2 linked regions of the Lonchura striata genome follow. The protein of the gene in region 2 interacts with the protein of the main gene of each other region in a pairwise test. Links are inferred from orthologs where the notes say so. Each region holds a gene or a part of one and is shown on either strand. Other genes may lie near its edges.

Region 1 (15,366 bases), on a different chromosome or scaffold from region 2:
CCCTGGCATCCCCCGGCTCTGGGCGCGGAGATACCCCGGAGGATGAGCGTCTGAGGAAGGCAGCGGGACTTCCCAGCTCCACACCATCCATCCCTAAGCTAGGAGGGCTGGGATGGCATTTCAGGATATGGCTTCATCCCTGTATCCCAGCCGGGAGTATCTCCCACAGAAACCACCTGATGCTGGCCTGACACGCATCACAATGTCACTTTTATTTAGTTACCTCCACTTTCTGCATGTACAAAATACATGTTAAAAGGCCAGTGTTTGTAAACAGGGGAGCAGTAAGGCAAACAGGAACACCCACAGCACCTCCAGACCTGCCCAGCCCTCAGCCATGGGAGCAGCAAGGGAGCCCAGGTGTTTCCCAGGTGACATGAAACATCGTGTCCTCCTCCACTTCGGCCAAGGCACCTCATGCCTAGCACACATTCAAGCAAACCAGAGCCACAGGACCCACCAGGTACCAAACCTTTTCATCTTCCTGCAGGGTGGGCACTGGGAGGCATCTTGGCATTGGCATCTGCTGAGCATCTCTGCTGGGCTCCATGGGAGGTGGCTCTTTGCTCCCCACGTCCAGGACAACTGGCCATCTTCTTTATGCCAAAAGGTCCCCAAGCCCCAGCTCCTGCTCACAGACAGGAGCCTGGCAAAGGGGCTTGGGACACAGCCGGTGCCATACAAGTGGGGGTTTGGTGGAGCCTGGTTTTGTCAAAAGATGAGGGCACAGATGCTGGAGACCCCTTGGGAGAGGAAGGAGGGATCTGTGCCTTCACAGCATCTTTCAAACATTCCTGCTGTGCTTTGGGCTTTTCTTCCTCCTTCTCTATCTGGGTCTTCCTGTCCTAATCAGCAATTGAGAGGTCCCCATTTACACGTAGTGTTAGTAAGGAAAGACCAAACATTCCCACACAGGGAAGCACCCATGGGCTGTTGCCCCTCCTGCAGCCACTGGCTGCAGTGGGAGAGAGCCACGTTGAGAAGTGTAGGAGCACAAGCCATGCTTCTCCTTCCCACCACAACAGCCTGTGCTGCTTCCAGAAGATGCATGAGGTGCAGGGCCAGGTTTTGCACAAATCTGGCCTGAACCCTTGTCGCAGATGCATCAACAGCTACAGCTGAACTCCTCCTCCCCAAGGGTTTTAGAAGCCAAACAACATAAAAAGAAAATCAAAGAGAAACAAGAGAACAATGCTATTGAGGTTTAACGCTCCCAACCAAATCTGCAGCTGGGGGAACTGCTCAACCCAGAAAAAGCAGGAATGAAACTATCATCCAGACAGGCAACAGAGGGACAGCCCAGAGCAACACCAGCCACACAGAGTGTAAATGAAAAAGAGAACAATATAAAACAAATTAATACTGACTGCTTTATCCCAAAAGCATCTCTTAAAACCTGGCCCAGTCCCATTTCCTGGACACCTGGAAGAACGGGATTGTAAATCTGGAGAAGAGCATTGCTCTATTGTAGTGTCTTCAGTAGGTTGATGCAGCCATAGCAGCTTCTCTACTGAGTGAGCAACCCCTGGCAAGGAAAACAATGCACTGGCATGTCCCTACCTTAGGGGCATTCTGATCCTCAAACGAAAAAACCTGAACAGGCTGAAGGCAACCCTTTGTAAAAAAGTGCAGCCCAGGCAGAGGGAGATGTGACCGTAGGGGCAGGAGACCGGCAGGAAACCAGAACTCAAACCAAACATTGACACAAAATAGGACTATGGGGTGTCTCCCTGTCTGATAAACATGATTACTATTTCCCTTTATGCAGAACACTGCTTCTCTCTGCAAAGTTGGGAGAAGGACTTTTAGCTGTGGAGAGGAGCTCCACCAGAACAAGGGTACATACATGAGAGCAGCATGGCTTTGCAAACCCCAGCCACGACCCCTTAGTGATGTCTAAGGGAGTGATGTCTACTCCCAGGGGCAGAAGGATGACAGGTCCCCTTGTAGTGTTGCTCTGGTTTCACCAGGGAGCCAGGGCTGAGAGAAGCCTGACTGCCTGCAGCCTTAAGACAATGAGATACAAACCACCACAGGGCTTCTTCAGCCAAGCCCCAAGTCACAACGGTTCTTTTGGATCTTCCCAACACACCAACATGTTTTCTTCCCACTTCCCTTTGGTCCTAGGGGAAATGTCCATCCCCTCAGCAGCAGCAGTGCAGTCCAGCCTGGAGGAGTCAGGCTGTAAGATCCGCGAAGATGGCATTGGCAGTAGTCTGTCCAAAGATGAAGGCTCCAAGGGTGACCATGAACACCCCATAGCTGACCTGGGCCCACCAGCTGTGGATGCAGGAGGACAGGGAGTATTTAGAGGGGTCCTTCACCCCAATATCCTGAGGGGAATGGGGGAGAGGGGAGGCACATTTCAGTTACCTGATTGCCCTGGTTTCTTGGATCTCAGAGAGCTTGGCTTGAATCAGGCAGAGCCCTGAAAGGTAGGGAAGGCACATTAGAACCAGATGAGAACTATCCACTGAGAACTATCCACTGGGGATTGAACAGACATCCTATAAAAGAGGAAGCTGCACTCCCTGTTACAGAGCTCCATGTCCAGTCAAAATAGTTGGGCTGCTGACTGGCCCCACACCACATTTTTGTCCTCCTCTAAAAATCTCCTGGTTCCTGTGTTTCCATCCTGTCCCTCCCTCTTTGAGACACAAGGCCATGAGAGCTTTGTCAGCCCCTAAGCATCACAGGATGCCCTACCTGGGAAGACAAAGATGAAGCAGGCGGCCAAGCCCCCAATGACAGAGATGACTTTGCCAATATCAGGGATGAAAAGAGCCAGAAGGAGTGTCAGGAGGAACCAGCTGATGGTCTGAAGCAGGCGCCTCCTCCGCTCCCGAACCACGTCCTCCTCCACTGTTACCCCGGTATAGCGGAGCCAGAGACCCTCCAGGACAGCCCTGTGGGCACAGACCCAGGACAGAGGGGTTTCCTTGTGCTGCTCCTCCTTCCCACATCAGCCCCATCTCTCCCAGCGCTCACCGGCCACAGAAGTGCAGGATGGGGTAGGACGTCAGCACACAGAGGATGATGAAAGCCCGGGCGAGGGCAACAGGGATGTCATTGGAGGGGTAGGACATCAAGACGTCCTGCTCCACGCCAGCTCCAAAGGTTAGGAAGCCACAGATGCCTGTCAGGAAAGGAGCAGTCAGCAGGGGAGAAGGACAAGTCTCCTGAACATCTGTTTGAAGGACCAGACTTAGATGGATATAGCACAGAGCACATTGCAGAGGTGTCCGATGGACTCTCCTCCCTTCTCCCTCTGACCCTTGCTGACCAGAGGGTCCCTGCCCTCCTGAAGCTCACAGCCACTCCAAGGACTGTGCCACACTCACACGGTGTCCCCTCACTTACCAGTGCCTGTGTAGACGAAGAGAGCAATCACCATGGCTGCTGTCACCACTGCCCCCCAGGTCTTCACCTCCGGCTGCTTCATGCTGTTAAAGACGGGCACGCTGCTCACGTGGCACTGCCAGGACACAGAGACAGTGGGGATACATGATGGCCAGACCACAGGGCATCCTACTCGTGATATTCAGCATGTGTTGTGATATTGTGATACTCCAGGTTTGTCACTGGAGAAGAAAAGCTGGAGGTACAGGATGCCCTGTACGTTCTAGCTGGGGTAAAATGGATCCTTCTCCATTCAGAGGTGGTGAGATGTTAAAAAGGTTTCAGTTTCCTTGTAAAACTGTGCATTGAGCACATGGGCAGGGTTTTAGCCAATCAACCAGCGAATTACACAGGCAGGGTTTTAGTCTGTCACCCAAGCAACCATAGGATGGAAGGGGGAGTGCCAAGCTCATGGCCTTACCTGGAACCCAAAGCAGATGGTGGGCATGGCATTGAAGACAGCTGTCCAGCTGGAGGGGCTGGCAGGAGAGAAACCTCCGTCAGTCAGACCAGAATCCTCTGTGACCCCCATCCAGTGCCCCAGGGGAGGATGAGTTGGGAGTGCTCAGTGTCTTTGCCTTACTGCATCCCCCCACCCAGGATGATACCATTGCATGGAAGAACAGGGCCTTTCACTGAGACAGAAACAGCCAAACCTGAGCACATAAAAGTAAAAGTATCAGTAAAAAATAAGGATCTAGTTGGGCAGTGCAAAAAACTGGTCTAACCTTTGCTCTGCCATAAAATTCCTGCATTGGATCCAAAAATATACACTGTGAGGAAGGGAATAAGCCACAGTGGTTGTGCTGGCTAAAGAAATAACCAAAATCATCCAAATATAGACACAGCCCTTGATGTGAGCATAAGCACTGCACAGGGAATCCAGGGCCTGGATATGTCAGAGGTAAAAGACAATCAGTGCTATCAAAACCTGTGATGGAGCCATGGGGGACGTTTAAGAGGTCCTTTTCCTCCTCTTCATCATCTGCTCCTCTGAAACAGGCAGAGGTGCAGCCACTTGGGAGCTTCTGGCAGCAACATGCATAGTGCACAGGACCAGCGATGGGACTGATGAAAGATTCACCCCTAGCCTTTGCAGCCCTTGCTCCCACAGCCCTGCCTGGCTCTGCAGTGCTATGATGGCACCGACACCATCATGTCTCTTGCTCTCACCTGGTGGGGATCTCCACAGGCACCAGCTCCTTGTCAGGCCAGATGTACTTGATGATAATGACTGCGGTGACATACCATGTGCCAATCACACTGAGGGAGCTTTGAAAGATGATAGGAGGCTGTGAGTGCTCTGCCTCCCCACTTCATGGAGGGTATCCTCCCACCCTCTCCATTCCCATCTTCTGCCCTGCACAGCCCAGGCTACCCCCCTCCTACCTATCAGACCCATTTTTGCTTTTCCTTCCCATGAGAAAATACCAGGAAATGTCACCCACTGTTCCCCAAGCAGATGCCAACACAATTTGGTTGCATTTGGGGGTTATCCCATCCTTCTGTGAGCGGCAAACCTGCTAGACTTGGGTGTTTGGCTGGAGAAAGAGGCAAATGTTGAAGCAGTGACACTCCTTGGTGCCCCTGCTGGTCCAGCCCCAGCAGCCAGGTCACACCAAGATTTCTGGTGGAGCAGAGCTGGCCTGCAAATCACCCAGCCTAGGGACACTGAGTGGCTATCCTTTCTGCTGGATTGCCAACTCAAAAGATAGGAGACAATGTAGTTGAAAGCAGCATTCCATGCTTCCTCCAGCATGCAGAAGGGAGGGACACAAGCTCTGAAGTATGACACTATGGCTGCACGGTGCTCAGCTACTCCTCTGCTTCCCAGATGGGGAAACTGAGGCGTGGGAAAGCAGAAGGTGAGTGGACAGATGTGGCACTAGAACCACAGCATTTCCAGTCCCTGTCCTCTACAACCATGCTTAAGTGGGTGCTAGCTGGCCCACCCCAACTCCCAGCCCAGAGGGCTCTTTCCGCCTACCTGGCATATTTTTGGAAGCCAATCTCTTTGGGGATGGAGAGGGGCAGGATGAGCAGGAAAGCGGTGATGCTGATGGTAAACTTGCGGTCTGTGTACCAGTGGCTCCCAACTTCCTCAGGCTCCTTCACCAGAGCAGCAATGACTGTGGGGACAACCAAGATGGTCAGGTTGGCCCTTCCAGCTGAAGGGACAAAAACTGGTTATTATTTGCTCCACGGAACGCTCTTACTCTTGTCCTCCTGGTCTCCGATGATGATGAGGAAGGCGATGCAGGTGCCAAAGGTGTAGACAGCGATGGCCACCTCGCACAGCACACCAGGCACCTTCCCACAGACGGCCCACACAACCTCCTGGTAGGTGCGCTCATTGCTGGCCTGTGAGCAGTATGCCAGGATGACCAAGCCTCCAATGATGAAGATCAGCATGCACTGGGATGGGAGAGAGACGGGGGAACACTGAGCCAACAATATGGCTACCCCAGGCAGCCACCCTTCAATACATTGAGAATCTGGTGCACCTCACCCAAACGAGCTTCTTCCTAGGAGTCTGGTCCTCCCCAAGCCCTTACGGGGGCACCACATGTCCCTCCCATGCACTCTCCCAGGATGGGATGGGGGACTGTCCTTCCCCACTCTCTCACCATCTGTAGGGTGATGCCTGCAGCCACGCCACCAGCCATGCTGAAGGCGGCAGGGAAGTTGAGCAGCCCAGCGCCAAGGGCAGCGTTGACCACAATGAAGACCGCTCCCAGAGCTGATGTGGCCCCCAAACTGTTTCCTTGGATCTCTGAAGTTTTGAGCACTGTCTCCACACTAGGGCTCTGCAGGAGCCTGGCCCGTTCACCGGCATCGTCACTCCACTCCCAATCCTTGTAGTCACTGTTGATGCTGCCAGTGCCCTGAGCCATTGTCCCTTCGCAGGTGGCACACACCACCATCCACGTCCCACTAGTGGTCCAGCACCAGGCTCAGCCGGGCACCTTGAGGAGGGTCCTCAGCCAGCGCTGGCTCCATCAGGCAGGAAGGGCAGCAAACAAACAGGCTGGAATGCAGCAAACCAGGAATCAGGCACTTCCTTACTCCTACAAGGGGATGAAGAATGACACTGTTAAATGTTAGTTAAATTATATTAACAAGGGACAATCTCGGCATTAGGTGGGGGCACAGGGGAACTGAGTTCCTGGGTCTTAGCTCAGGGGATCACAGCACACACACACGCCAGCAGAGATAAAGCAGAACTTACCTCTTGTCCCTCAAATCCAGGGAGAGGACACAACTGCTGTCGGATAGGGGACTGAGCCCTGGCCTTGGGGCTGAGGAGCTGCAACCTCACAGCAGGACTTGCCTTTTTGTGGGCATGAGACCCAGTGTCATAGCTCATTTCCTGATTTCCAACCCTAATTTCTGCAAGCTCTGCAAGAGCAGCTGTGCACGTGCTTCTGAGTAAAGGGCAAGGCTGGGCTCAACAGGAATGTCTTGTGTGCAGCAGAAATACTGTGTCAACAGGAAAAGCAGGACTGGCCCCTTCCAGGGCACCCCTATGTTGACAACCAGTAGGAGATGATGTCTCAGAAGCTTTTGGATTTGAAGATCTGATGTTTCCAGCATCACAGCCCTTGGGGGTTGGAAAGCCCAAATCTCATCCCAGTGTCTCCAAGCAGGAGGAGACTGACCCTCACAACCTGGCAGGATTTTGTAGGAATCTACATGACCATGGGAAATCTCTTTTCAAGAAAATCTGGCTTTTATTCCTAGAGGACATCTACAGAGACTCTACCTGCCTAGCTCACTCCTTGCTTCTGGGCTATTTAAACTCTGTGCTTGTACTATGAATCTTCTGTAAAGATTTCTGGGGAAAGGGAGGAAGGGCCACCCTGTGCCCCGTGTGTAGGACCGTGGAGGGACGGACCGGTGGGTCTGCGTGGGCTGAAGTTCCCACCCGGGTGAGGATGCTGCAGGGGTCGATGCTTCTCCCATGGCCTGGGGGAGGATGCTGAAGGGTGTCCTTTCCGTCCAGGCAGAGCAGCCATACTCTGACAACCAGAAATCCCGAGAGCAGGCGCTTCACCGAGGGTGACTCGACAGACCCGCGGCCCCGCTCGGGCCCCGGCGGCGCCCCCGGCCCGGAGGAGCAAGGCCCGGAGCCGGTGACGGTCAGCCCGCGTTCGCACGGGATGCACAGACTCCTGTGCCAGCCGGTCGCTGGGCTCCCCGCATGTGTCCCCCCGGTCCGTCCGTATCCCGGCCCCACTCACCAGGCGGGGAGCGCCCTCTGCTCCGCTCCCTTCGGCCCCGGCCCCAGCCCCGGCTGAGCTCGGCGGCAGCGGCGGCGCGGCGGCGGCTCCGCCCTGCCCGCTGCACGCCGGGGGTTGTAGTCCAGCCCCGGAGGCGGGGGAACATCAGCGAAGGGGAAACATCCCCCTTCGGGTAACCCTTCCCAGGGGCTGAGCCTCCGGGGACACGCGGCAAGGAGAGGGCGACAGACGGGGCTGTGCTCCAGGGTGCTTTTATTGTACAGAGAACGAGCAGGAGAACGCCCCACGCGGGTAACAGGAGGCGGCAGCTCGAGAGCCACGCAGAACCGGGGACCACAGCACAGGAACCCACAGCCCCGTGGGGCAGCACCTACGGCGTGTGCGGCATGGAAAGCGGTTTATTGCACAAAGGACAGCAAGCAGCGGCTGTGGGCATCGGGCCAGTAAACATGCGGTGTGGGAGCGGAAACCTTCTGTCAGGGAGCAGCGGGAGGATCCAGCCTTCCAGCAAGTGTGGCAACAAGGTGCACTAGACCCGGACAGGTGCACCAGACCGGACCTGTCCCAGCTCCAGCAGGCACACAGTTGCCCTGGGCAGGAATGGGAAATGAGGACTGCCCTGCTAAATACCCTGGTACAGCTGCAGAAGGAAGAAGTGCCAGTGGATGAAGACAGCTCACAGACTTAAGACGTAATGCCTCCAGCTCCGCCTAGGGAGGCTCCACTCCATCATGGGCCAGTGGCCAAAGATGGGCCCATGTCCCAAGGCAGACAGTTTTTGGGAATTTGTCCTCTTGCCAGCAACACCTATATTCAACAACATAGGCCTAAATTTCAGCTCCATGGCACCTGGACAATCTCAGTTCACACACACTGTGCTCCCAGGGCTCATTGGTGGGAACTGCCTCTCTACATGGAATTCTCAGGAGTTCACTGGTCACATAAGATCCCCTGTGCTAGAATGGTCCTGAGAGGGATTGTTTGGTGCATGGAAGGGACAGGATCCAGTTGCACAATGACAGGATGAATTCCCCAGTTCAACATAGCCATGCACCAGTTTATTTGGATTAAAAATCGGAGTCCAGTAGGTCAAGGACCTCAGGAACACTTGGTTTAGGACAGAATGGTTTTTGAGTCATCAGCTCTCAGATTTCTCTCAAGATCACTTTTTTTGGTGTCACCAGAAATGTGGTTGTACAGACCAGAGAGGGATGCCCCACACCTCCACGTGAGTGGAATACTGCAGGGCCAAGCCTCTTGGCTTACGGCTTTGAGACACTCAACAAAGAGTGCAGGGAGGGTATAGGGCTGGACTGCTGGGCTTAGGACGGGAATGGGGCAAGGCAGAGACCACCAGAGAGCAGTTTTCAGAGGAAATTCTTATTGGGGATGGGGAGGGGGTGAGAGAAATTGTTTCACCTCCAGGTATGAAAGTGAGACAGGTTTAAAAGAGGGACACCTTTTGGGAGGTCTGCCCCACGCACTGATGCCACTGTGAATTACACCTGAAAGGAGAGTCCCAGATGGAAAGAGTGAAGCCAACAACAGAGCGGAGTTTGGTAGTGAGAAGTCCTCAGAGCTGGTTGTCAGGACAGCTTTGGTGCTGCCCAGCCCCAGGCTGGGATGATGGAGGAAGATGGAGCCTGCTGGCAGCAGGGACTGGCTGAGGAGTTTGGAGGACCACACCTCCAACTCAGCCCACCCAGCTCCCTGCCTGCTGCTGCTTGGGCTAGCAGCCAAAAGCCTCACAAAGCCTTCTCATGGAGAAATGTGTGCGGAGAAGCCTTTGGTGCCTACACTGGTAGGATGGCATTGTAAGCATTTGTTTCCTCCAGCATAGATAGGTGCTGGGGTTGATGAAGAAAGGATGGACAGCAGGGAAGAATGGCTGTGATGAGCAGGAGCCAGCAATTATGTCCTTGCTCCACAACACAGGGTGGATTTGACTAGGCTTCTACAACTCATCTACAAGATACATTCAGCAGCGGCTTCAAGTGCTGTGGTTGAAGTATTCTGCTTGTTTCTTTTCCCTCCTCATCTTCGACTGGTGAGGAAGGGAAAGCCACCAGCTCCAGGGCACCCCTTTGTCTTTACTTTGTGACTTGATGGATGGCATGAGCCAGGTAACCCACGTTGCCTGACGTAACTCCCGCCACAGAGATGCGTCCGTCCTTTGTCATGTAGACTGAGAACTCCTTGATCAGCCGCTCCACCTGGGGTGAAAGAGCAAAGTTCAAACTGCAGACCAACCTTTCCTGTGTCAGCAAAGTGCAAATTTACCCAGCTTGCTGAAACTCAAAGCAAACTGGCTGCCAGCAGACAGGGCATCCCACTACCTGCAGAGTACCCTGTGCACCAAGAGAGATGCTGCTCAGCTCTCAGGCTAAGCAGCAACACTGCAGATGTTCAGCTGGAAGAGTCACCTCACTTGACCTTTAAGATCACTTCACAGCAGCACCAAGTGATTGCTTGCTTTGATAGACATGACAGCTACATTTACTTTCAACCTCCCCAAGTACAGCAGGGAACAGAGCAAGACTGGGGTCCCCATGATGTGCCACTGCTTAGGGCTTGGAGGATGTTCTTTCTGAGGAAGAAGTGCTTTCAAGGGTTCCTTTTGGCATCTGTAGTCAAAAACCTACTGACAAGGACTGCAAATGACACTTTGAGACCACTGGAATTGTGTTTACCTGTTCAGGCTTCAGCCCTGTGAAGCAGAACATGCCGATCTGGTCAGTGATGTGCTGCCAGTTGTGGGAGGATCCCTCCTTCTTGAGGTTCGACACCAGCTGAGTCCGCATGCTGATGATCCGGTCAGCCATGCCCTTCACCTCTGTGAGCCTGAGGAGACAACCCAGGAACCATTGAGAGCAGGGCTGGAACACACCAATGCTGTTCTCCCCACCCCAGCTATTGAAAATCAACCTCTCCACCTAGAGGGGCTCCATAGGGAGATGCAGATGAGCATGAAGAAGGAGCTCCAGCTGGAAAAGCTGCTTCTTTCTCCTGATACTCAAAGGTGATCTCTTTTTATTTATTCCATTGCTGTTGGACACTACTATTAGAATGTAGACATTTCTCACGTCTGAAAGGCACAGGTCAGTAGGATGCCTCATGGCAGCACTATTCAAACCCAGATAAAATAGTATCTACAGGTAAACCAAGCGTGCAGGGCTAACATTGGCAAAACAGGCCCTGCTCCAAAGCAACACAGCTAGGAAATGTCTCCACCGGGCCCTGGATCAGGCTCAAGTGTCAGGCTGCCAAAAGAACACAGCCCCCAGTGAGGCCACAGCACACTGCCAACCTTTGTTCTGCCAGGCCAGCTGCTGGGAAGGACCTGGCACCAAGGGGCTGGGAAAACAGCACAGGCTGACACCAGGAATCAGGCTTAGGGAATGAGGGTTACATTCTTGGGTCTCATTCCCAGGGGGCTTCTGCTTCCACTTCCCCCTCAAGAGACACACTACATGGCTATATACCACGTCAGACATTTAGGCTTCTTAGATAGGCAGCTCCTGCAGCCCTCAATCCTATGGGAGCTTTATCCCCTCCTTTACAGAGTTTTCTTCCTTGCTAACACAAGGAAAACCTGTTTGTGCCAGGTTAAACTGACACCAGCTGATGCCAGGACATAATCAAGGATTTATCCAGAGTAAACATGGTTCTGACTGTTGCTGAAGCTAAGAGCTGCCTGTGACAGCAGCAGACAGTAAGCGCAGCACAAGGCTGAACAAAGAGATCTCACTGTCATGAACATTACAGATTTCTTCTTACCACTCCTTCCGTAGGTCAGGGGTGTTCAGGATCATAGATGCAATGCGTGCTCCGTTCACAGGTGGGTTGGAGTACATGGGGCGGATGAGGATCTTCAGCTGTGATTCGACCCTCTTGGCTTCATCTGCATCACTGCAGATCACTGTGAAGGCACCCGCACGCTCTCCTAAGAGAATCACAGAATATCTTGAGTTGGAAGGATCATTGAGTCCAGTTTTTGGCCCTGCACAGAACAACCCCATGAATCCCACAATTCCTGTGTCTGACAGCATTGCCCAAACACTCCTTAAGCTCTGTCAGGCTTATGCTATGCCACTTCCCTGAGAAGCCTGTTCCAATATCCAATCACCCTTTAGGTTAAGAACCTTTCCCGAATATCCAGCCTAAATCCTCCCTGACACAGTTCTATGTCATTCCCTTGGGTCCTGCCACTGGTCGCAGAGTGCAGATGCTGCCCCTTGAGAGGAAGCTGATGCCTGTGATGAGCTCTGCCCTCAGTCTTTTCTTCCCCAGGCTGAGCAAGCTAAGTGTCCTCAGCTGCTCCGTTTATGGCTTTTCTTTTAGACCATTCACCATCTCTGTAGTCTCTTTCGGACACTCTCTGAAAACTTTCTATCTGTCTTATGCTGTTGCACCCAACACCACACAGCTTTAGTGGATCCCTGTTCTCTAGAAGCGTCTCCACCAGCTCCTATTGGGTTATCCCTGCAGGATGAACACAGGCAGCAGGAAAACACTGGCTGCTAAACCTTGAAGGTGTTGGGATCCCAGCAGCATCCTGGTTTAAACTATTTCCTCACCACGTGCCCTACTCACCGTACAGCCCCATGTTCTTAGCGAAGGACTGTGACAGGACGATGTTGATGCCCTGCTCGATGAAATACCGCACAGCCCAGGCGTCCCGGTTGATGTCCCCACTGGCAAAGCCCTGGTAGGCCATGTCAAAGTACACGAGGAGGTTTCGTTTCTGCCAGCAAAGATAGAAGAGAGTGTCACAGAAGCTGAGCACTCCTCCAAGGTGCAGGGCTAGCAGGCTGAGAAAAGCCATGCAGACAGCAGTCTGTCCACCTGCAGCGATTCTCCTCCAGAAAGAGCACTGTTCCCCTTCATTCACCACAGGGAAAGCACTCCAAAACCTGCAGCTACCCAGCACACATCAAAACAGCAGCTGAAGATCCTCCGGAGCTGAAAATCCCTCCACCCATGGGATGTGCAAGTCTGGCCCAGGAAGCAGAAGTAAATTCGACAGCAATAAAATAGTCTACTTCAATGTCTTCTGTATCATCAGTTTCCAGGAAAATCACCTGGGAACTCTAGTCAGCTAGGCAGAGACCCCAGATACACTGCCCCTTAGAGCTACCTTTCTGTAGGCCACAGAGATCACTTTGATATCTACCAATTCTCAGGACCCTATTAAGGCCTGGTATCTCCAAGCCAAATTTCACCGGCTACAGGCTTGATGGAGCAGCAGGAAGGAGGAGAAGGTAGAACCTGTCCCAATCTATTTGCAGCTGAAGCTTGCAATGAGACACCAAGCATGTGAGAGATCTTCCAGCATTTTTAATACACCAGCACTGGGTACTCCGTTCTAGCAATCACAGCTCATGCTTTCAACCCTGCTGCTCTCCTTTCAGGTCTCCCTACTCCAGCTTCCTGGAGAGGTGCCAGCAGAAAGCCCAATGGCCAGCTAGAAGCTTCCTGGGTACATTTGACTGGCTCCTGTCAGGAACATGACACCCATCCTGGCTTCAGGGACGGGAATAATCTTTAGAGAAGACCAGGTGCCACCCATGAAAGGCCAGAGATGAGGTTTTCCCAGGAATGGCACAGTACCCCTGGGACATTGCTTACCTTCACCATAGCTGCCAACTCCTTCCATTGCTCCTGCCGGGGATCCACCCCAGTGGGGTTGTGAGCACAAGCATGTAAGAGGATGATGCTCTTCTCTGGAATTTTCTAAGGAAGATGTTATAGAGAATGAATAATTGATGATATCTGACCACTCTCCTCAGCAAATGAGACAGCTTAGATGAGCTCTGTGAGGCTTCTAGCCTTGATTTAATGCTTTCAGGCATCATAGAATGATAGAGTATTCTGAGCTGGAATGGACCCATAGGGAGTCCAACTCCTTGGCCCTGAACAGGACAATCATGAGAACCACACTATGTGCCTGAATTGTTCAAACACTCCTTGAAGCCTGGCAGACTTCCCTCGGGACCCCGTTTTGAGTGCCCAACCACCCTCTGGGTAAAAAAATCTTTTTCTAATATCCAGACTAAACCTCCCCGACACAGCTTCATGCCTCATCATCACATTTAGGGTAAAGTAATATCACCACTCATTTCCCCACATGACCTCCCTTCTTCCAGGCACAGAAGGCAACTCACAGAAATGTCATCCATGGCTCCAGAGAAGTCAAGGCTGCATGTCTTGGGGTCATAGTAACGATAAGCCTGAAGTTGCATGCCAGCATCACGGAAAATGGGAGTGTGATTACCCCAGGACGGTTTGGGTAGATACACATCACGACTGGATTTGAAGAACCGTTGCTGGTCAATAGAAAGACAGAGTGTTCAAACAAGTTGTATAAATTCAAGCAGTTAGAAAACCATAAAAAATCAGCTCTGGTCAAAATACATCCTTTCCTTCCACTGCTGGCCAGGCACTCACCAAAAAGTTGGCTCCAATTCGCAGAGATCCAGTCCCAGAAATACCCTGCACGGTAACATACTGCAAGAAAAGAAAAAATACATCTGAGTCTGAGTAGACGTGTTGTATTACAGGGAGAGCACAGTCACCATGTCATGACTGGCAGCAGCACACAAAACAGGGACAAGGGGCTGGAGGAACCACAGGGGTCAGCAGCTCCAGCTCCATAGCAGGGAGTTGGGACCCCTCCCCTTCTTGGACAGCACTGTTTCACCCCAGCCTTCAGAGGAAGCAGTGATCCTTGGGGCCAGCCAGCCCATGACTCAGAAGCATCAATACCCCACCAGTTCTTCCACATTTGCTGAGCCCTCAATACCCACCACGTGTCCTTGCCCCCTGTGCCCTGGGCTCTCCTTACCCGGCCGCTCTTGAAAGCCTCACTGTTCTCCCCCAGAGCCAGTTCTGCAGATGCTCGGGTGAAATCCGCTAGTCCCCCGATGGGCAAGTACTCCTTATCCATCTTCTTGGATGCTATCATGGCCTCCGCCTGGAAGGGAGAACACAAGCTCAGCAAGGAAGGCATCACCGTGCAGAGAGTGATGGACAGCTGAAGGTCACTTCTTTGCACATTTGCTTGCTCGAAAGGGGCAAAGGTTGGTTTACAGGAGTTTCCCTGCAGGGCTCATTCCTGGGCAGCAAGGGGCAGCAGTAAACATTTCAGATAAAACCCCAAAGCCACCAGAGCCCTCAGTGGGTGACAGCATTGGTACAGTGGAACCACAGAAACCTGGCATCAGAAGAGAGCACCACTTCCAGCCCATTACAAGTCAATGCTGCTGCACAAGGACACACACTTCTCTGCTCAAGCAGGAATTGTCCTGCAAGAAAGCAAGACTTGAGTGTTACTGAGAGGCAGATATCATCTCTCTCTGTGGAAGACATCCCCAAACCACGTAGGGTAGGAAACCTTTTGCAGGGTGTTGTCATGCTGGAAGTGGCACAGACCCTGGCAGCATTCACATACCACTAGGAAACTGTCCCTGTGACACCATCCATGTTCCCTGGTTGTGACCCAGCTGCACAGAGAGGGAGGGCAAGGGATGGCTTTAAAACCTACACTGATGAGACACATGGAAAAGGCACTCTCCCTGCACCCTCCCTGTTAATGCAGCCAATCAATGCATATCTCCACTGCCAGCTATTTAACAGCCTATTTCTACCCCTACAGCCCTAAAAGACCCCATAATCCCTTCAAGGGCAATGTCCACACCCAGCTCCCTGGGCTGGAGTTTTAGACTGG
Region 2 (16,168 bases):
TTTCTCCCCTCATCCCCCCTCATGTTGTGCTTGCGTGGCTGCCCCGGCCCCCGGCGTTGTGTAGTGGCTGTGAAATAAATACCCCGTGCTGTGTCAAACACTCGCCCGCCCGTTCCTCCCCATGGCACCCCCCGTGCCTCCCCTGCACCCACCTGCCCTGCAGGGCTGTCCTGGGCAGGGGGTGGTGGTGGTGCTGTGCCCTCCAGTGAGCAGGCACTGCAGGGCTGGGGAGCAGGTTGGGGTGGGAGTGCCCCCCTGTCAGTGCCCTGGGTTGGTTCCTGTACTCTGCTGCCATGAAGCTGGAACTGGCCTCCCTCCCCAGGGACATGTCCCCTCCCCAGCTGCTGACCCTCTCCAGCATCCCAAACCCCCTTTCCACAGGGTCCAGAGCCGTGGAAGGAATCAGAACTGCCTTCCCTCCCCATGCTTTACCCCAATCCTACCCCTAACCCAGAATATCCCTTACAGGACCAACCTGCCCCCCAGAACCCAACCCACACCCTAGTGAGGGCCTCCACCACCCCCCCTGCAGCCACTCAGCACACGGGACACCAGGGCCTCAATTCACTGCATTTATGGCCCCAGGGAGAAAATAAAACAATAACAGACCCCAAACTTCTCCAGTCTGGGGCTGTCAGCAGCTGTCAGAGGCACTGTGCTGTATCCCCTGCCCCAGAGTGCCCATGCTCCACTGGCTCTGTGCAGTGCAGGTGCTTGGGCCCCACACCACCGGGCTGAAGAGCAGATGTGGCAGCCCCATCCTTGGCATCTCAGTCCCTGATACCTCGGTCCCTGGCACAAGCCTCACACGAGGGGCGTCAGAGCTTGCTGGGGAGTCCTGGCCTCTGCTGGAGCTGCCAAGTCGCCCTCACCCCCTCACCCACCCGGTTGAGCTCGGCGAAGGCGGCGGGGTCGCCAGTGCAGCAGTAGCATGCGACGAGCGGCTGCAGGATGGTGATGGGGATGCAGAAGTTGAGGTGGGGGTAGGTAGCCCCCACAGCGGTGTCCCGCGTGTTGCTGGCCACGATGCCTGGCAGGGAGGGAGTGATGCCCACATCACTGGGTCTGGCCGGGGGATGCCCACCCCCACCTGCCCACGGGGAGACCCCTGGCTTACCCATGAGGCATCCACTGCGGGAGGAGACGAGGGGGCCACCGCTGGAGCCCCCGTGGACGGCACAGGTGGTTTGCAGCATGACAGGGCGCCCAGCCACAGCCACCACGGCCGAGAGCACCCCTGCTGTCACCGAGGGGCCGCACGCCTGCCCCAGCGCCCCGAAGCCCACCACGCTCACCTCTTCTCCTGGGATGGGAGAGGCAGCAGGTGCGAGGCAGTCCTTACCTAACAGCCCGTGTCCCCCCAGTGCTTACCTGGGAGGAAGGTGTTGGCCAGGCACGGTGGGACAAAGCCTGGCACGCTCTCCTCCAGCTCCACCACGGCCACATCAAAGGGGGATGACTCCTCGGTGGCAAACACCACATGTCCCCTGAGCACGGCGACATCCCTAAGGACACGGTTAACGAGATGTCATGGCGGGGGACACGCAGGGTCGGGGGTTAAGGCTGGCAGGGGGACAGCCGCACTCACTGGTCGGGGCCGGCTGCCGGTGTCACGTAGAGTGGGGCTCTTGCCTCCACGACGTGTCGGCAGGTGAGGAGCATCCTTGGTGCCAGCAGCACCCCGGAGCCCCAGGTCGCCCCGCACTCCACCAGCGCCGTCCAGCCCAGGGGATCCTGCCCGCTGCTCGCTGGCACCGCGGCCACCCACGCCGGCACCGGCGGCACCACGATCCCGGCTTCACCCAGGACGCCGGCGCTGCTGCGCAGGATGGCGGCGAGCGAGCAGAGCAGCGTGAGCCCGACCCACTCGGCGCCCTTCCAGCAGAAGGAGGCGGCGATCACGGCCACCACGCGCGGCCCGTCGGGCGAGGGCACGAAGGCGGCGCCGCCCTCAGTGCCGGGCAGGCAGCGGGCATCGGTGAGCACCAGGGCGTTCTCCTCGCCCGCCAGGTTGCTGACCACGCCCCGGCTCAGCGTGTTGAGGAACAGCTCGGGGCACAGGTCTCCGAAAGGCGACCCGCAGGCGAGCAGCGCCTGCCCCTTGCGCAGGCAGCCGGCGCTGGTCCGCGCCGCCCAGCCGCCCTCGGGCGCGTCCAGCCCGGGCACCCGCAGCCAGGCGAACCAGGGCAGCGCCCGCGGGTCGGTGCCCGCGTCCTCCGAGGCCCCGAACCGCCACCGCTCCGCCCGCCCGAGGCCGCGCTCCAGCGCCCGCCGGAACGCCGCGCACGGCACCAGCGCCAGCAGCCGCGCATCGAGCTCCCGCAGCCCGCCGGCCGCGGCCCCCAGCACGACGCTGAGGCGCGGGCACGGCCGGAGCGCGTCGGGCAGCAGCGCGGCGGGGCGCGCCCAGGCGAGGGGGCCGGCGCGCAGGAACGGGGCGAAGACGGCGGCGTGGCACAGCACCAGCGCGGGGCGGCGGCTCAGCACCAGCCCGCTGCAGCCGCCATCGCCGCCGCCCGCGCCCCGCACCCGCACCGCGCAGCACGGCGGCGCCGCCATCGCCGCCATCCCCGCCGCGCCCCCGCGCCCGCCCCGCGCGCCCATTGGCTGCCACCCCGCGCCGCGCCCTCCCCATTGGCCGGGGCGGAGCGCGCACGTGACGGGCGCGCCCCCGCGGGGCCCTCACCGGGGGTGCGCGGCCCCCGGCCCGGCCCCGCTGCCCCGGCCCGGCCCCGCTGCCCCGGCCCCGGCCCCGCTGCCCCGGCCCCGCTGCCCCGGCCCGGCCCCGCTGCCCCGGACCGGCCCCGCTGCCCCGGCCCCGGCCCCGCTGCCCCGGCCCGGCCCCGCTGCCCCGGCCCCGCTGCCCCGGCCCCGGCCCCGCTGCCCCGGCCCGGCCCCGCTGCCCCGGCACATCAGGAATGCCTGCTTTGGAGCCGCCCCTCGGCCCCGGGAGAACCGGGACCCTCGGCCCGCAGCCGCCCCTCGCCCACCACGACCCAGCGCTGCACTTCGGGACACCGGCACACGCGCCCCGTTCCCGGGACCCTCGGCCCGGACACCCCACGGCCACGCTCGCTTCCCACCTCACCCGCAGCACCAACGAGTACGAAACTTTTATTTCCAACAGAGGTACCGGGACTGGGAAAATCCTTCTGGAACAGCTAAAATCGCCCCCGAATACCGGGAGTCAGACCCCCCCTCCCCGTTTCCCCCCCAGCCCCTTCCCGGCTGTCTGGGCTCGGTGTGGGTTTGTTCTACCAAGAGCAAAGCCCTGCAAGCCATGAGCTCTCCCTGGATGCCAGCCCGGAGACAAGCGGCTCTTCCATCCTGCCTGTTTCCCTCACTGGCTGCACTGTGCAGGTCACAGGACCATGGAACCATTGGATGAATATCCTGAGTTGGAAGTGACAAGGATTTAGTCCAGCTCCTAGCCCTGCACAGGACAGCCTCTAGAATCCCACCCTGTGCCTGACAGCGTTGTCCAAACGCTTATGGAATTCTGTGGCTGGTGTTCTGATGGCCCCAAGGCCCAGCAAACACCAAGCCAGACTGAGGCTCATTGCCCCTTCGGTGGAGAAAGACATGTCTTTATTGAACTGAAAATGAGTGCCAGACAGCAATGAAACTTCAGACAAAAAAAAAAAAAAAAAGTCCGTTGAGAGTATAAAAGAAACCAGTTTAGTCTACATTAATCACCTCATGATATGCAAATGTCAAACACTTCCATGCTACAACAACCAAAACTGCTCCGTGGTTCGTACTGTGATGGCGTGGCCAGAGGATCCTCAGTGGAGGGTCTGGCCTGAGGGGGAACCAGGCAGTCCCTTCCCACTACACACCAGCCTCAGCACCTGCACCAGGTGCTCCTCCCCAACTAGTAAAAAGAAAAAAAAAAATTCCCTGTAAACTAAAGAAGCTGGGATTGCACACCTCAGTCCCAACAGCACCGCGCTGTCGTCGGTCAGCGTGACACAGCACAGCCACCCTACAGCTCAGTTAAGCCCAAATGCTATGTTTATTGAGGACTTCTAATATCGTGATACCTTGGTTCAGTAATTTGTGAAATACCTAAATACCGTTAAATATATTTTTAAAAAACCCTAAACCAGACTCTGGACTAAACAAGATGAACGTTAAACTAAAAAGTTAGAAGGGACGTCATTTACATTAACACTTTCTTTAAAAAATAGAATCACTTTTTCCTTTTCTGTTTGTTTGTTTTTGAAGTCAATTAACCACAGTGGTGAGACGTGCTCTCTTTTTCAGCTGTTACATCGCAGCGTGCAGAGTTTTGCCTTCCCAGCCTGGAGCAGCCCCGCTGTCACCCAAGTGGCAGGGACAACTCAGGAACAGCGCTGCCTCCCCGCCGCGTGGAAAAGAGTGGTGTCACCACTGTGCCATAAGGGCAGCCGGAAAACCAGGAGTCTCTTGGACAATGCCAGTATGCGCTTGGAAAGCCTTCCACGTTCTAATAGAAAAGTCCATAGGAAGCTGAAGTGAACAGGATCAGTCCAGAGGAGTAAAACTCTCGTGTCCGTGCCAGTATCAGTCAATGTACTGCGATAGCCAGCGGAAGCCCTCACCGTAGCCTTGCCTCTTGAGCACACTGCACATGAACACCTCCATGGGGCGCGCATTCAGGTCCTTCAGTGGCACATTTCCCTGGGGAAATCCAAAGAGGAGTCACATCTGCACCCCTGGTGCCCTCAGGGAAGCACCCAGCGAGCCACAGCCATCCAGGGGAGCTCCTTTTGCAGGCCCCTTTGTGTGTGCACTGCATTTTGGACAATCCCGGCAGCCTCAAAACTTGCCCAAGGGCAGCATCAGAAGTTTGGGTTACAAGGGACCTTAAAGATCACCTCATTCCACCCCATTGCTCGGTCCCACTGTCCCAGGCTGCTCCAAGCCCCGTCCAACCTGGCCTTGAACAGGGATGGGGCAGCCACAGCTCCTCTGGGCAGCCTGTGCCAGGGTCTCCCCACCCTCACAGGAAGAATCTCTTCCCAATTTCCCATTCGAAGCTGCCTTTGGCAGTGGGAAGCCAGTCCCTCTTGTCCCACCGCTCCATGGCTTTTAAACAGTCTCTCTCCTTGGCTCCCTTCAGGCACATCATCATTATTATCATTGATTGACTTTGACCAATTAGTGGACAAATTCCCAGTCACAACTCAATCAGGGCTCAACCTGCAAGGAAGCAGGCAAGCTCTCCCCATTGCCAATCCAAGATTTGGATGCTTCCCTACCTTTCCTGTGGTCTGTCCGTAGAGCCCAAAGATCTCCCGCAGTTTCTCCTCACTGATGGCCTCTGGTCTGTCGATTTTGTTTCCCAAGATAAGGATTGGCACGTTGCATATTGTCTCGTCTGTCATTAACGCCTGCATGCAAGAGCCAACAAGAGCTGAGCAGACAGGTGGAAAAAGGAGTCGTTGCCTGAAGAAAACGGTTTTGTTTGAGCTCTGTGACCAACAAGGGCTCCTTTCTGGGGCTTCCATACTCCTGTGGAAGACTCACAGAATCACTGAGGCTGGCAAATCCCTGCCAGCCCAGAGTCCCAGCTGTGCCCAGTGCCCACCTTGTCCCCAGCCCAGAGCACTGAGTGCCACCTCCAGCCCTTCCTGGGACACCTCCAGGGATGGGCACTCCAAAGCTCCCTGGGCAGCCCTGCCAAGGCCTGAGCAGCCTTTCCATGGAGAAAGGAAAAGCTCCTGCTGCTGTCCCAGCTGAGCCTCCCCTGAACTCAAGTGCCTGTGGCCAACCCAGAGCAAGGACATCCAGGCTCCTCCAGCTCTGGGAGAGATGGCTGTTATTCATAATTTAGCTGATCAGGTCTTGGAGAAGGGAAACAAGAGAAGTGTATTTACATTAAGCTCAACTTTGGATTCCATAAGCCGTGAGTGATCTGCACAGTCCACCAGGAAGACAATCCCATTGATGGCAGGCAGGTAGTTTTTCCAGACCCGGCGAGCTGGAAAACACAAGGGACAAACATGGCCCTGTGAAATCTCCACACAGGGAAAAATCCACCAAGCCTCAGCAACCATGGCTGCCTTTTTAGCCAGGCTGTCTTCCTTCCAGTAGTTTTGTGTATAAAAGGGCAAAAAACCTGTGTTTAAAACTTCTAGAAAGTACATAACTAAAAATCCATCAATTATTCAAACTAAATTATATTGCAGTCTTCCACAGCTAAAAATACTCCAGGCAGCAGGGCATGAACTGGCAGCATTTCCTTCCAAGCAATCCTACAGCCAGGAGGTTGCTTCCACGTATTGTTCCATAAATAAATCCAGGCAACAAATAATTAGGCACTGCTAATTGCTGACACTCGTCTGGATCAATTTTTGGTCATTTTTTCCTCACCTTGTTCATGTCCACCCAGATCAAAAGTCGTAAAGGTCATTCCAGCAATTGTCAGCTCCTCTGATGCTGAAATGGAAAGCACAGGTGGGATTCAGGAAAACAAGGAAGGTGGGCATTCATGCTGGCATCACACATGCTCTTCCAATAAGGAATTCCCTAAACTTCTTGTGGAATTCAGTGGCTGAAATGCAGCCATTTCCCAAAATCACTAGCGGCAGAAACTAATTTCTCCTGCTTCCCACAGCTTTTTAACCTGCAATTATTATCCCTTATTAGACTTTCCATTAGGAAAATCTTCCCTTTCTACTAATTGAGCCATACCAGTTCCTGGGCATTTCTAGAGAGGAAAACACAGACCCACTTCAGCCTGGGTAAGCACAGTGCAGCTGCAACCTCAGCTCAAGTTTTAAGACCCTCAAATCCCCCAGGCAGAGCTGCCACCAAGGTGTCTTCCTACACCATGTCCCCACAATTCCAGAGGAAAAGCCAGGCCGGGAGGCTTTTCCCAGGGAGACTTACTGGGATGTAGCGTGGGGACGTGCTGACCCAGCCTGTCATCTTTGAGCATGTGCAGCAGAGTGGTTTTCCCTGCGTTATCCAGCCCCAGGAAAACCAGCTTTCCAGACTTCTTGTACAAACCTGCGAGGAGAGGGAACAAAGCAAGAGGAAAGCTCCAGCGGGCTCGTCCGGAGCCAGAACGCCACGCTGCTTTTTTGGGGAAGTCCTTTCCCAGAGCTCTGCTGCCACCTGTGCACACTTGCAGCACGGACACGGGGCAGCAGGGAAAACACACAGAGCTCTAACAGGCTCCTTCCAAGGCATGCTCACAGCAATGGACATTTCCTAAGCTCGTGTGCCCCTGAGAATTCCATTCTTTCCTCAGATCTGTACTAGCAGCAGAGGACAGCGTGCAGCAGAGTGTTATGGACCAATCTGCCTCCTCAGAAAATGTTAAAATTGAACAAACTCATAAAAGAGAGCAGCGAGTTGTCCAGGAAAAAGTGCAAAGCAGGGAACAGAGTGTTGTTTTCTTGGCATAAACTGATTTTTGTTGTGTCTGCCACAGGAAAGCTCCCAAAAGTTTCCAACAGGACTTCTCACCCTGTCCCTCTAATCCTCCTTTCAAGAGAGGATCATGAGAATGGGCACCCTATCCTCCAGCAAGGAGTTCCACTGGAATCCAGGACTCTAGGAGGAGGAGGAGGAGGATGGGGCTCCCTCCCTGTCAAGGCAGCACCTCTGCCTGGGGCTGGACAGCCTAGCTGCTCTCAGGCATGCAAAGGGCAAGAGAAACACCTGAGTGGGAGCCCAACGCCTCCAAATACTCCCAAAGTTTCTCTGCACCAGTGTAAAAGCCCTTTTATTGATACAGAGATTCCTCACCAGACTTTGCACTGGCCAGAGCTGCTGCACACCACCTTAACCCCGACTTTTATGGGATACTGGGAACCGGAGAAGCCGAACCCACCCGGAGGGGGCTGCTGAGGCATTACCTAGGAACTGCAAGACGCTGCTGAAGCCGTTGTAGAGCCATTCGAAGATGAAAGACATCTCTGGAAATAAAATGCCTGCGGGGGACAAATCCCAAACCCCGCGTTACGAAGTGTCGGTGCTCAAAGGGAGCCGCGGTCACGGCCTCCGGGACGGGGGGGTCGGAGGTCCCGGCAACGGGAGGGGTCGGCGGGAGCGGGGGCGAAGGGGAACGGGGGTGAGAGGAGACGGGGGGTGAGGGGCCACCGGGGTGAGCGGGGCCGGCCTCAAGGGCGGGCGGCGAGGCCTGGCCCCCGCCCCGCCCCCGCTCTGCCTGCGTGTCACCCCCCGCGCCGCCGCCGCCCCTCTCCCGGGCCTGCCAGGCGCCCGCCGCCCCGCTGAGCGCCCCGCCGGGCCCGGCCGCCGCCCCCGCCGCTCACCCCCGGCTGCCCCCGGGCCGCCGCCGCCGAGTCCCGTCCGCGGCCGCCGCCAGCGCCCCGCCGGAAACGCGTCAGCGCGCGCCCCGCCCGCTTCCGGCCCCGCTGGCCCCGCGCGGCACCGGGGAGGGCGCGGGTTCGAGAGCCGCCCGCGCCCCGCGGGGTCCCGGGTTCGAGACCGGCCTCGGCCCCGCGGGGACGCGGCCCTCAGCTACCCCCTTAACCCCGCCTCGCCACAAAGGGCAGCGGGCAGGACGTGCTGTGCAGCTGCTCCGGGCGGGACACGAGGAGGAACTCCTCCACGGAAAGGGCGGCGAGACTTGGAGGGGGCCCAGGGAGGCGTGACCATCCCCGGAGTGTCTGAGGGACACTCGGTACCCGGGTGGGGAACCGGCCACAGGCCGCACTCCATGATCCCCGAGGGATCCTGCGATTTTGTGACCCCTCAGCTCCAGAGACGAAAAGGAGAGGGAGCCCCACAGCACTGGATTTCAGTAGTTTTTTATTTCTAGCATCCATACACATCCCAGGTGAGTGATCTCCTGTCATGACTTAGAGCACACCACATGACAGTCACAAGCAGGGTGTTCGGGTTTTATAAATTATTTCTTCCAGCCTCCACCAGGCCTCAGCAGACATGTCACTGCTAGGTACAGAATTCTAATCAGCAAAGTTACAGGCAAGGTCTTGCTGACACTGAAGCTATTTTTCTGGTCTATTCCTGCGTGTGGCAGCAGCTCGGTGGGAAGGACACAGCTGTCTCACCACCATCCTCGGGACTCAGTTTTTCTGGTAGTAGAACCATTTGTCAACTGTGTGGGGCAGAAAAAAGGAGGGGGGATTAGTCCCCTGTGAGCCACCCAGTTATTAAGTAGTTACGTGGCAGTGTGTGTGTGTCACCTCCAGCTCAGGGGCTTCCTCTGCTCCTGGCAACAGCTCCTCAGCACAGCAAACAGGTTCTGGCACAACCCTGTTTATGTGGATTTGTTTTCCCAAAGCAGCCAGCCTTGCTCAGGCTGCCATTAGGAGCATTCATGACTTGGTGCAGGCAAGGACAGCAAGCCAGGCTTCCCTCTGGCTCAGCTGACTCAGGGAGGCAAAGCCTCCAACTCCCATGCCCACATGGGAGACACACATTTCTCCACAGATTTATTCCCCATGAAGAGATTGGAAGTGTCAGCCTGGCTCCACCTTCTGCTCCCAACACCACCCTGTTTGCCTTCGGGCCTTGCCCTGGCTACAGCAACATCCAGGTTTACCTCACACCCTCATTTTCCTATGCACAATTCCTCTGAGGAAGCCCCTGCTGTGTACTGGGATGTCAGGGTGGGTTTTGAGGCTCACCTTCGGGTGGGATGGGGCTGGCAGCTTTACACGGTGGTGCCTGAAACAAGAAGGGTGTTATCAGAGACCAGAGGTGTCCTTCACTCTCCACACATCATTTAGGGCTGCACAAGTCTTTCCTGAGCACCATTTAAGCCCCTGTGGCAGCTGGTCAGCTGTGGGGGGGACATCTGAGCTCATGTGCAGCATCCGGTCATTCCTGTAGCCTCCCCATTCCGGAGATGCCCGAGGGGCTCTCCTCCAAGTGCAGGCTCCAGGGCCATCTGACCCCCAGCACAAGCAGTTCCCACTCCAGACTCTACACAGCTGCAGGCAGTCCTGGATTTTTTTTTAAATCTACAACGTTGGTTTAAAAATTATGGGGGAATAGAGGCACGAAGGGCTCTCTGAGAACTCCTCTGAAGAGCTTTCTCTGGTATTCAACAAGCAAAGACAGTGCAAATCCCTGTCTGGTGACACATCCTCCATGAGGGCTTTCAAAAACCTTGATGAGACCCCTAATTGGGATACCAGCACTTTAGAAAAGAACACAATGGTTTTAAAGGTCTCTCCAAGGCTACATGAGACCCAGGTTTCCAGTTATGGAAGAGAGACAAGATGTGCACTTCAATTTTCCTGTCCCCTCCCCTCTAAGCCCTTTCAGGCTGCCAACAGCAGTACTCTGCAAGTCTAGGGAGACACAATTAATTCCTGAGGCTGGACAGGAGAACTACACCTGGAATATCAAGCTCTTCATTCTGAAGCTGCAAAATCCCTGGGGAATTAGATTCTCTTTTCTCAGAGGGAGACCTGTACTGTGAAGCTCTTGGAAGCCCAAATATTAAAACCCTCTCAGAACAGCTGACAACCAAGCTACAGCTCAGAAGTTTAGCCCTCCACGCAAACTCCGTTTGGGATTCCATCTCTTGGATGACTAAGGGCAGGGAGGAATGTCTGGTTTGCTCCACATCCACCCTGTTTAACCAGAAGCAGGTGTTCAGCCACCCAAAACACTGTGAGCATGCCATGTGCCATTCACACAGAGAGGACAGTTCACCACACAAACTGCACCGTTTTTCCCAACAATAACACCAGGATTTGGCCACTCAAACTGGTACTTACTGCATCCACAGTAGCTTTTGCACAGTCTTGACTACAGCAGAAAGGGCTGTCGGACACCGTCAGGTTGGTGCTGGAAGACATTGGGCACTTGTGAGAATGTGCAAGCCTAGCCTCCCCCCAGGAGCATTAAATAATGGAATATTAAGGACTGCAGCTGCCAAGTGGAAGAGGAAGGCCTGGGGAGACAGCCAGCAGCTAACAGAAAGCATGGCACCCCTCAGGAAGTGATGTTCCAGGGGTTTTAGTTTAGGGAAGGGGAAGGTGCACATTCCCACAAGCATTAGCCTACCAGTTGATCTCCCCTCCGTCAGTTTTCTTTGTTATTAAAGCTTTCCAGTGTTCGTGGGTGCCTTTGATGACATCCAGGGCAAAATCCTGACATTGGAAATGAGAACAAACATCATGTTACTTGGAAGCACCAGATCACCTTCTCCAGACTATCACTAACAAGATGCTCTGGAAGGGGCTGGAAGAAACCTCTTCTGCTCCAGTGCCATTCAGGAAGAGCAGAAACTCCCAGGACACAACAGCTGAAAAAACCAGGATTGTGTAGGAGAATTGTTGTTTTGCTTCCAAGATGGGAGGATCTGCCAAGGTCACAGAGCAAGCTTGGGGCCAAAAGAAACTGAGCACAGTCTCGGGCTAGTGCTCCACTATAAAAGCACCTTCACCCTGCTGCTCCTCCCACTCGGTTTGTCTCCAGCAGCTTGTTGATCCGGGCCTGTCCAGGAGCTCTCTTCCACTCCAGGCAAATAATTCAGACCAGCAGGAAGAGACATGCAGCTGATCAGGCTTTGCAACTACTTAAAAATGAATTTGTTTCCAGGCATATCAACCTCTTCCCTTAAAAATGAGCAATATATGCTCAAGCATTAACCTGTCAGCTGGAGAAGGAAACACATGCAGTCCTTTCTTGGTGTGAACACTGGCACTAAACGTCCTGGTTTGATACCAAACCAAGCCAAATAAAACACTGCAGAGCATGTGTGAAGTTCTGTATCCTGATTTTCCAGTTTCCTTGATGGGTTTCACCCATCCTAAGGGGCAACGAGGTGTTCCAGCCTGACCAGCCTAGTGCTGTGCTACAGCCAAAGGGGACAAGTCCTTCACGACTTCCATTTTCTTTCCCAGAGAGGGCTTTTGGAAGAACTCCCCTCCTCTGCACCATCTCTGGAGCCCTAGGAGTTGAGTCACCTCACTAAACCCCTCATGGCACTCCAGGAAGGGCAGAAGTGAGGACACCAAAACAGGATTTCACCCGCTCAGGAGCAGTAACTTATCTGATCCAACCCAGAGAAGAGGCAGAGTGCTGCCAAGGCAGAGCCTTACTCACAGGGTGTGAGGGAACACTTCATGCCTGAAGCAAGAAGTGTTTTAACTCCTGAGTTAAGTTTAACTTGCACCAGGTTGCAGTGGAACAAAGTCCACAGGTAAGGGAGGCAAAGGGTGATGTCAAGCTGCCTTTGCTCCACAGCTGGAGGAAATAAACCTGGTGTTTTCCACCTGGTTCTGACACGAAGGCTCCCAGCCCTCAAATGATCCCACATGAAAAAAATATTCAATGACACCATGGGGATAACCCCAGGCTTTTTTTTTTTTTTCCTGGTATTCCTGTATTCACTAGGATGGAAAAAACCAGCAGGATGAACTGAAATCAACTATCAGCACCCCCATAAAAATCCATTATCTCAGCAACTTGCTCGTGTTCTCACGCAGCCTGAGCTCAGGTTTTGGGCCAGGTGCCACTGTGCAAAGGAAGGTGATCCTACCTTGCCTTTAAATTCTCCATTAAAAGCAAACTGGTTTTCTGGCTTTCCATCCGGTACTTTGTATCTTCTGAACCAGTCCACAGTAGCTTCTAAGTATCCAGGCTTCATCCTTCTGACATCCTCGATGTCTGGAAGGGGACATGAGGTTTGTTAGCCAGAAACAGTAACAGAATGTAGTGAATTACAGAATTTATGTGGCTCTGCTGAGTTGTTCTGGGCTGTGCCTCTTTCAGCCCCTCCCCAAGCAGCCTTAGCAACATTTCAGAAAGGTTCCCTGAAGCCTCAGTGAGTATGTCCTCAGGGAAGTTAGTGTTTCATCCCCAGGGTGTGTATCCCAAGTGTCCCCAGGAGCTGGGACACATTTAAACAGTTTGGATTAGAGGCTGGGGGGACAATCCCTTTTCTTCCACTGTGTTTGGAATGCCAGGCTGTGCCGAGGGTTGGCCACATGTGCCAAACTGCAATGAAATGTTTTGCTCTAGGATTGTCCTTCCAGCACCACATCTGACTGATAGCAGAGCACAGAAGGAGCAAGCCCTGTCCCCACCTCCTGCAGGTTTTCAGGGGAGGAAGGGAAGCACTGATGCTGCTCCCCCCCCCTGTAACTCACCATTGTAGCTGGCTGCTTCGGGGTCTTCAGTGTTGATAGCAATGACCTTCCAGTCTGTCTCTCCCTCATCAATCAGAGCCAGAGTGCCCAGCACCTTCACTTTGATGACTTCTCCCCGAGAGCAGACCTGCAAAAGGACAAAGGCCTTGTTGTCCATCCTAGTGCACCCAGGAGTGCACGACAGGAGGCTGTGCAGGGGCTCAGCAAGCAGCCAGGTACCATGAAATTAGCTCTGGCTGTCAGCAGCTCATCAGCCCTGGCTCATCGCAGCAACAGTCTCCAGAGGCAGCAGAGGGAAACATCACATTGTTAAGGGGAGGAGGGGTAGGAAATGAATAATAATCCCTGAATAATTGGCTTTGGAGACATTAATTACACGTTTCAGGAGTCATTTAGGATGCGCTACCTTGCTTCCAATTTCGCAGACATCAATTGGATCGTTATCTCCACAGCAACCAGTATTTTCATCCTTGTGACCTGGGTCTTCCCAAGTCTGAAAAAAAACCCCAAACCAACACCAAAATCAACTACACATAAGAATAAGAACTCGCAGGTTTAAAGAGGTAGTAAAAAGCAGGTTTATTTCGGGCATGCAGTTGCCTGGAATAAACAGAGGATGGCCCACTTCACACCTGCTGCCAGGTCAGGTATTTGGGCTACTGTTTCCCTTGGGCGTGGGGAGTTTGAATTCAAGTTAAAAGGTCTCATCTTCCAAAAGCTAAGCAGCCCCTTCCTACCCACAAAGCCCCTTTCAACAACTTTCCAGACTTCCTCCCTGTCCCACAGCTGTGTAAAGGTGAAGTTCACATCTATAAAGGGCAATTGTTGATTTGGCTTCCTGCCTGTTCCTCTCCCTATTCATTCCTTAGCAGAAGTTTCCTGAACTCGAGATAGCAATCCAGCAGAGAAGGAAGACAGACAGGGTGTATTGTTTCCCTTTAATTAAACAATTAAAAACCCTGGAGAAGTGATAAGAATGTGGAGTCCCACTGTGCTCTCCAGTGCATCTCACCCACAGTGGTGAATGCACATTGAAGGACATGACTCCAGAGGCCAGTTAATTGACTCCAAGAACAAGGGCTGTTTAAAACACGCTCCTGATCAGGAGTGAAAAGCACATTCCCACATAAGGAACATGTACTCCTAAGGGTGTTGAGATATAAAAAAGAAAGTTCCTCCCAAACTTCTCTGGGGGGACTAGTGTAGTCAGGACCTTGTGATGCATCCAGAATGGTGAGGAAGATGTTCTGACACCTGGGTGGTGCTGTGGGGCTGTTCACAAACCCTATCACATTTCTCTACCAGGAAATGTTAAGCGCTTGATGCACAAATATCTTTGATCACAAACACATAACAGAGCAAAGGCTTCAAAAGACACAACTGTGCACAAAGAAACAAGCAGCAGAATTCATTCAAGCAGGAAACAACTCAACTTGTTAAGCCACGTGGGGAAAACACTTGACATGTGCTACTGTCAAGAGCACAAACACCGAATTCAGAGTGCTTGCCTGTGATCTGTCACTGACAGCTTATTTCTTTGGAGGAAACCCCAGCCTTAGAGAACATCAGAGGCAAACAGGCCTGTTTGAAGTCTCACTGCGCTCCAGACCAGACTCTCTGCTGACCTTTTTGCTCATTAATACAGTGGCAATTGCAAGCACCCTCCCTCCTCCCCAACAGGAGGGATGATCCACTGGGATAAACCACAGTACCTGTGGGATGGCACCATAATTCCAGATGTAGCCCTTGTGGGGAAACACGTTTGCTACAAAGCGCAGTTTCCCTTTCTTCACATCCTGCTTAATTGGGTTTAAGGGTTCCTTTGTGGAAATCTGAAAGAAAAGTTACATAAATCCCTCTGCTTTACCCTTTATGAATAAAAAAGTGATTTTATTTTTAATGGAACTGACAAGCCAAAAGACCAGGAGATGATGCTGATACCAGCAGCAGATACTGGACACCTCCTGTTGCATTGCCATCCCTTGGTTTCCAGCAGACTTACAAGCCTTGGAATCACATGGAGCCAAGAGCCATAAAATATTGCTTTTATCAGAAGCCATGTGAGAACACCACAGCATTCCAACATCTGCAATCTCAGCCTCCACATCAGAGGAGGTTTATTTCCAGGTTTATTTCCTCCATATCAAGCAGGTTCTCACAGGAGAAGTTAGAAACCACTAACTTCTAACCACCAACTGGCAGGTAGAAACCACTGCAATTCCAGAGGTGGAATTGAGGAGGGCTTGACAAAGCCAAGCATTAAGGCTGGAACTGTAATGTAGTTACCTCCATTTTAGCATTTGTCCATCGAGGTACCTCCACGACCATGTTGAACACATTCTGAAGAAAGCAAAACAGCAGTGAGTGGGAAGGAACCTTGGGGCCATGCTTTAAACTAGGGAACACATATAAGTGAGCAGAAAAAACAGCCAGCTCACCTGAAACCATGTTTGTTCTGCTGTTTTGGTTTCTTTTTTCAGAGCTAATTTTGAGACAGCTGATAAAAGTCCTGTAGCCCAGTCAGTTGCATGTCATCACTCCAAGCTGAATCCCACAAAACACCCCAAAGGCCAGATTTGAAGTTCCCACATGTTCTCCAGCAGTTGCCACCTACAATCATCCCTATCACATTCCTAGGCTACAGGAACAGGTTAAATCAATGGCAAACAGCTGCATACAAACTACCCTGGACACAACAAAATGGGGTTTAGGCCTTATTTATTAAATACAAAGTGTTTAATGCTCCAGAAAGAGCCACTCTGGCCATTCAGAAAAGACAAGACCAACATGAGAAACCACCTATTAAATAGTGTAGGTATCTATGTACTGCCCTGAATGAGTGAGACCATCACTCCCAAATATTCTAGTAATAACGTAGGGAAGGATGCCCTTTCTCCAGGCTGACACTCCTGTAAAAGCAGACATTGCTAGTGGCATGGTGTGAGGATAAAAATGTGGGGGAGAAATGCAGAACCACATCTCACTGTATCTCATTTAGAGGTGACACTCGAAAACATCTCCTGTTGATCCAGCTGGCCTGAGAGTTCAATGTCAGCCTCCTCTCCAAGAAAACAAGCTTT

Evidence for each region.
Region 1: the proteins of SAR1A (region 2) and SLC38A7 interact in binary tests that used the Homo sapiens proteins (3 or more experiments, as listed by UniProt). The link is inferred for Lonchura striata from reciprocal best matches to the Homo sapiens genes SAR1A and SLC38A7.

What each region holds. Positions count from the first base shown.
Region 1 is NC_134615.1:16,310,475-16,325,840, reverse strand, and holds SLC38A7 (sodium-coupled neutral amino acid transporter 7), read right to left. Parts: upstream 7,729-15,366; 5' UTR 7,641-7,728; intron 6,468-7,640; 5' UTR 6,324-6,467; coding exon 6,027-6,323; intron 5,815-6,026; coding exon 5,616-5,814; intron 5,529-5,615; coding exon 5,387-5,528; intron 4,672-5,386; coding exon 4,573-4,671; intron 3,879-4,572; coding exon 3,821-3,878; intron 3,476-3,820; coding exon 3,361-3,475; intron 3,137-3,360; coding exon 2,989-3,136; intron 2,907-2,988; coding exon 2,707-2,906; intron 2,429-2,706; coding exon 2,374-2,428; intron 2,281-2,373; coding exon 2,178-2,280; 3' UTR 184-2,177; downstream 1-183. Other genes in the region: GOT2 (aspartate aminotransferase, mitochondrial), read right to left, coding at 9,731-9,853, 10,331-10,481, 11,418-11,583, 12,234-12,384, 13,269-13,373, 13,805-13,966, 14,088-14,147, 14,485-14,613. UniProt on the Homo sapiens protein: Symporter that selectively cotransports sodium ions and amino acids, such as L-glutamine and L-asparagine from the lysosome into the cytoplasm and may participates in mTORC1 activation. The transport activity requires an acidic lysosomal lumen.
Region 2 is NC_134609.1:36,613,015-36,629,182, reverse strand, and holds SAR1A (small COPII coat GTPase SAR1A), read right to left. Parts: upstream 8,346-16,168; 5' UTR 8,268-8,345; intron 7,926-8,267; 5' UTR 7,909-7,925; coding exon 7,851-7,908; intron 6,997-7,850; coding exon 6,877-6,996; intron 6,424-6,876; coding exon 6,358-6,423; intron 5,966-6,357; coding exon 5,862-5,965; intron 5,431-5,861; coding exon of another isoform or gene 5,376-5,430; coding exon 5,244-5,375; intron 4,663-5,243; coding exon 4,546-4,662; 3' UTR 3,656-4,545; downstream 1-3,655. Other genes in the region: TYSND1 (peroxisomal leader peptide-processing protease), read right to left, coding at 819-1,030, 1,118-1,303, 1,372-1,505, 1,589-2,559; PPA1 (inorganic pyrophosphatase), read right to left, coding at 9,045-9,076, 9,609-9,648, 10,710-10,779, 10,999-11,084, 12,479-12,606, 13,089-13,215, 13,495-13,581, 14,801-14,920 and 1 more. UniProt on the Homo sapiens protein: Small GTPase that cycles between an active GTP-bound and an inactive GDP-bound state and mainly functions in vesicle-mediated endoplasmic reticulum (ER) to Golgi transport.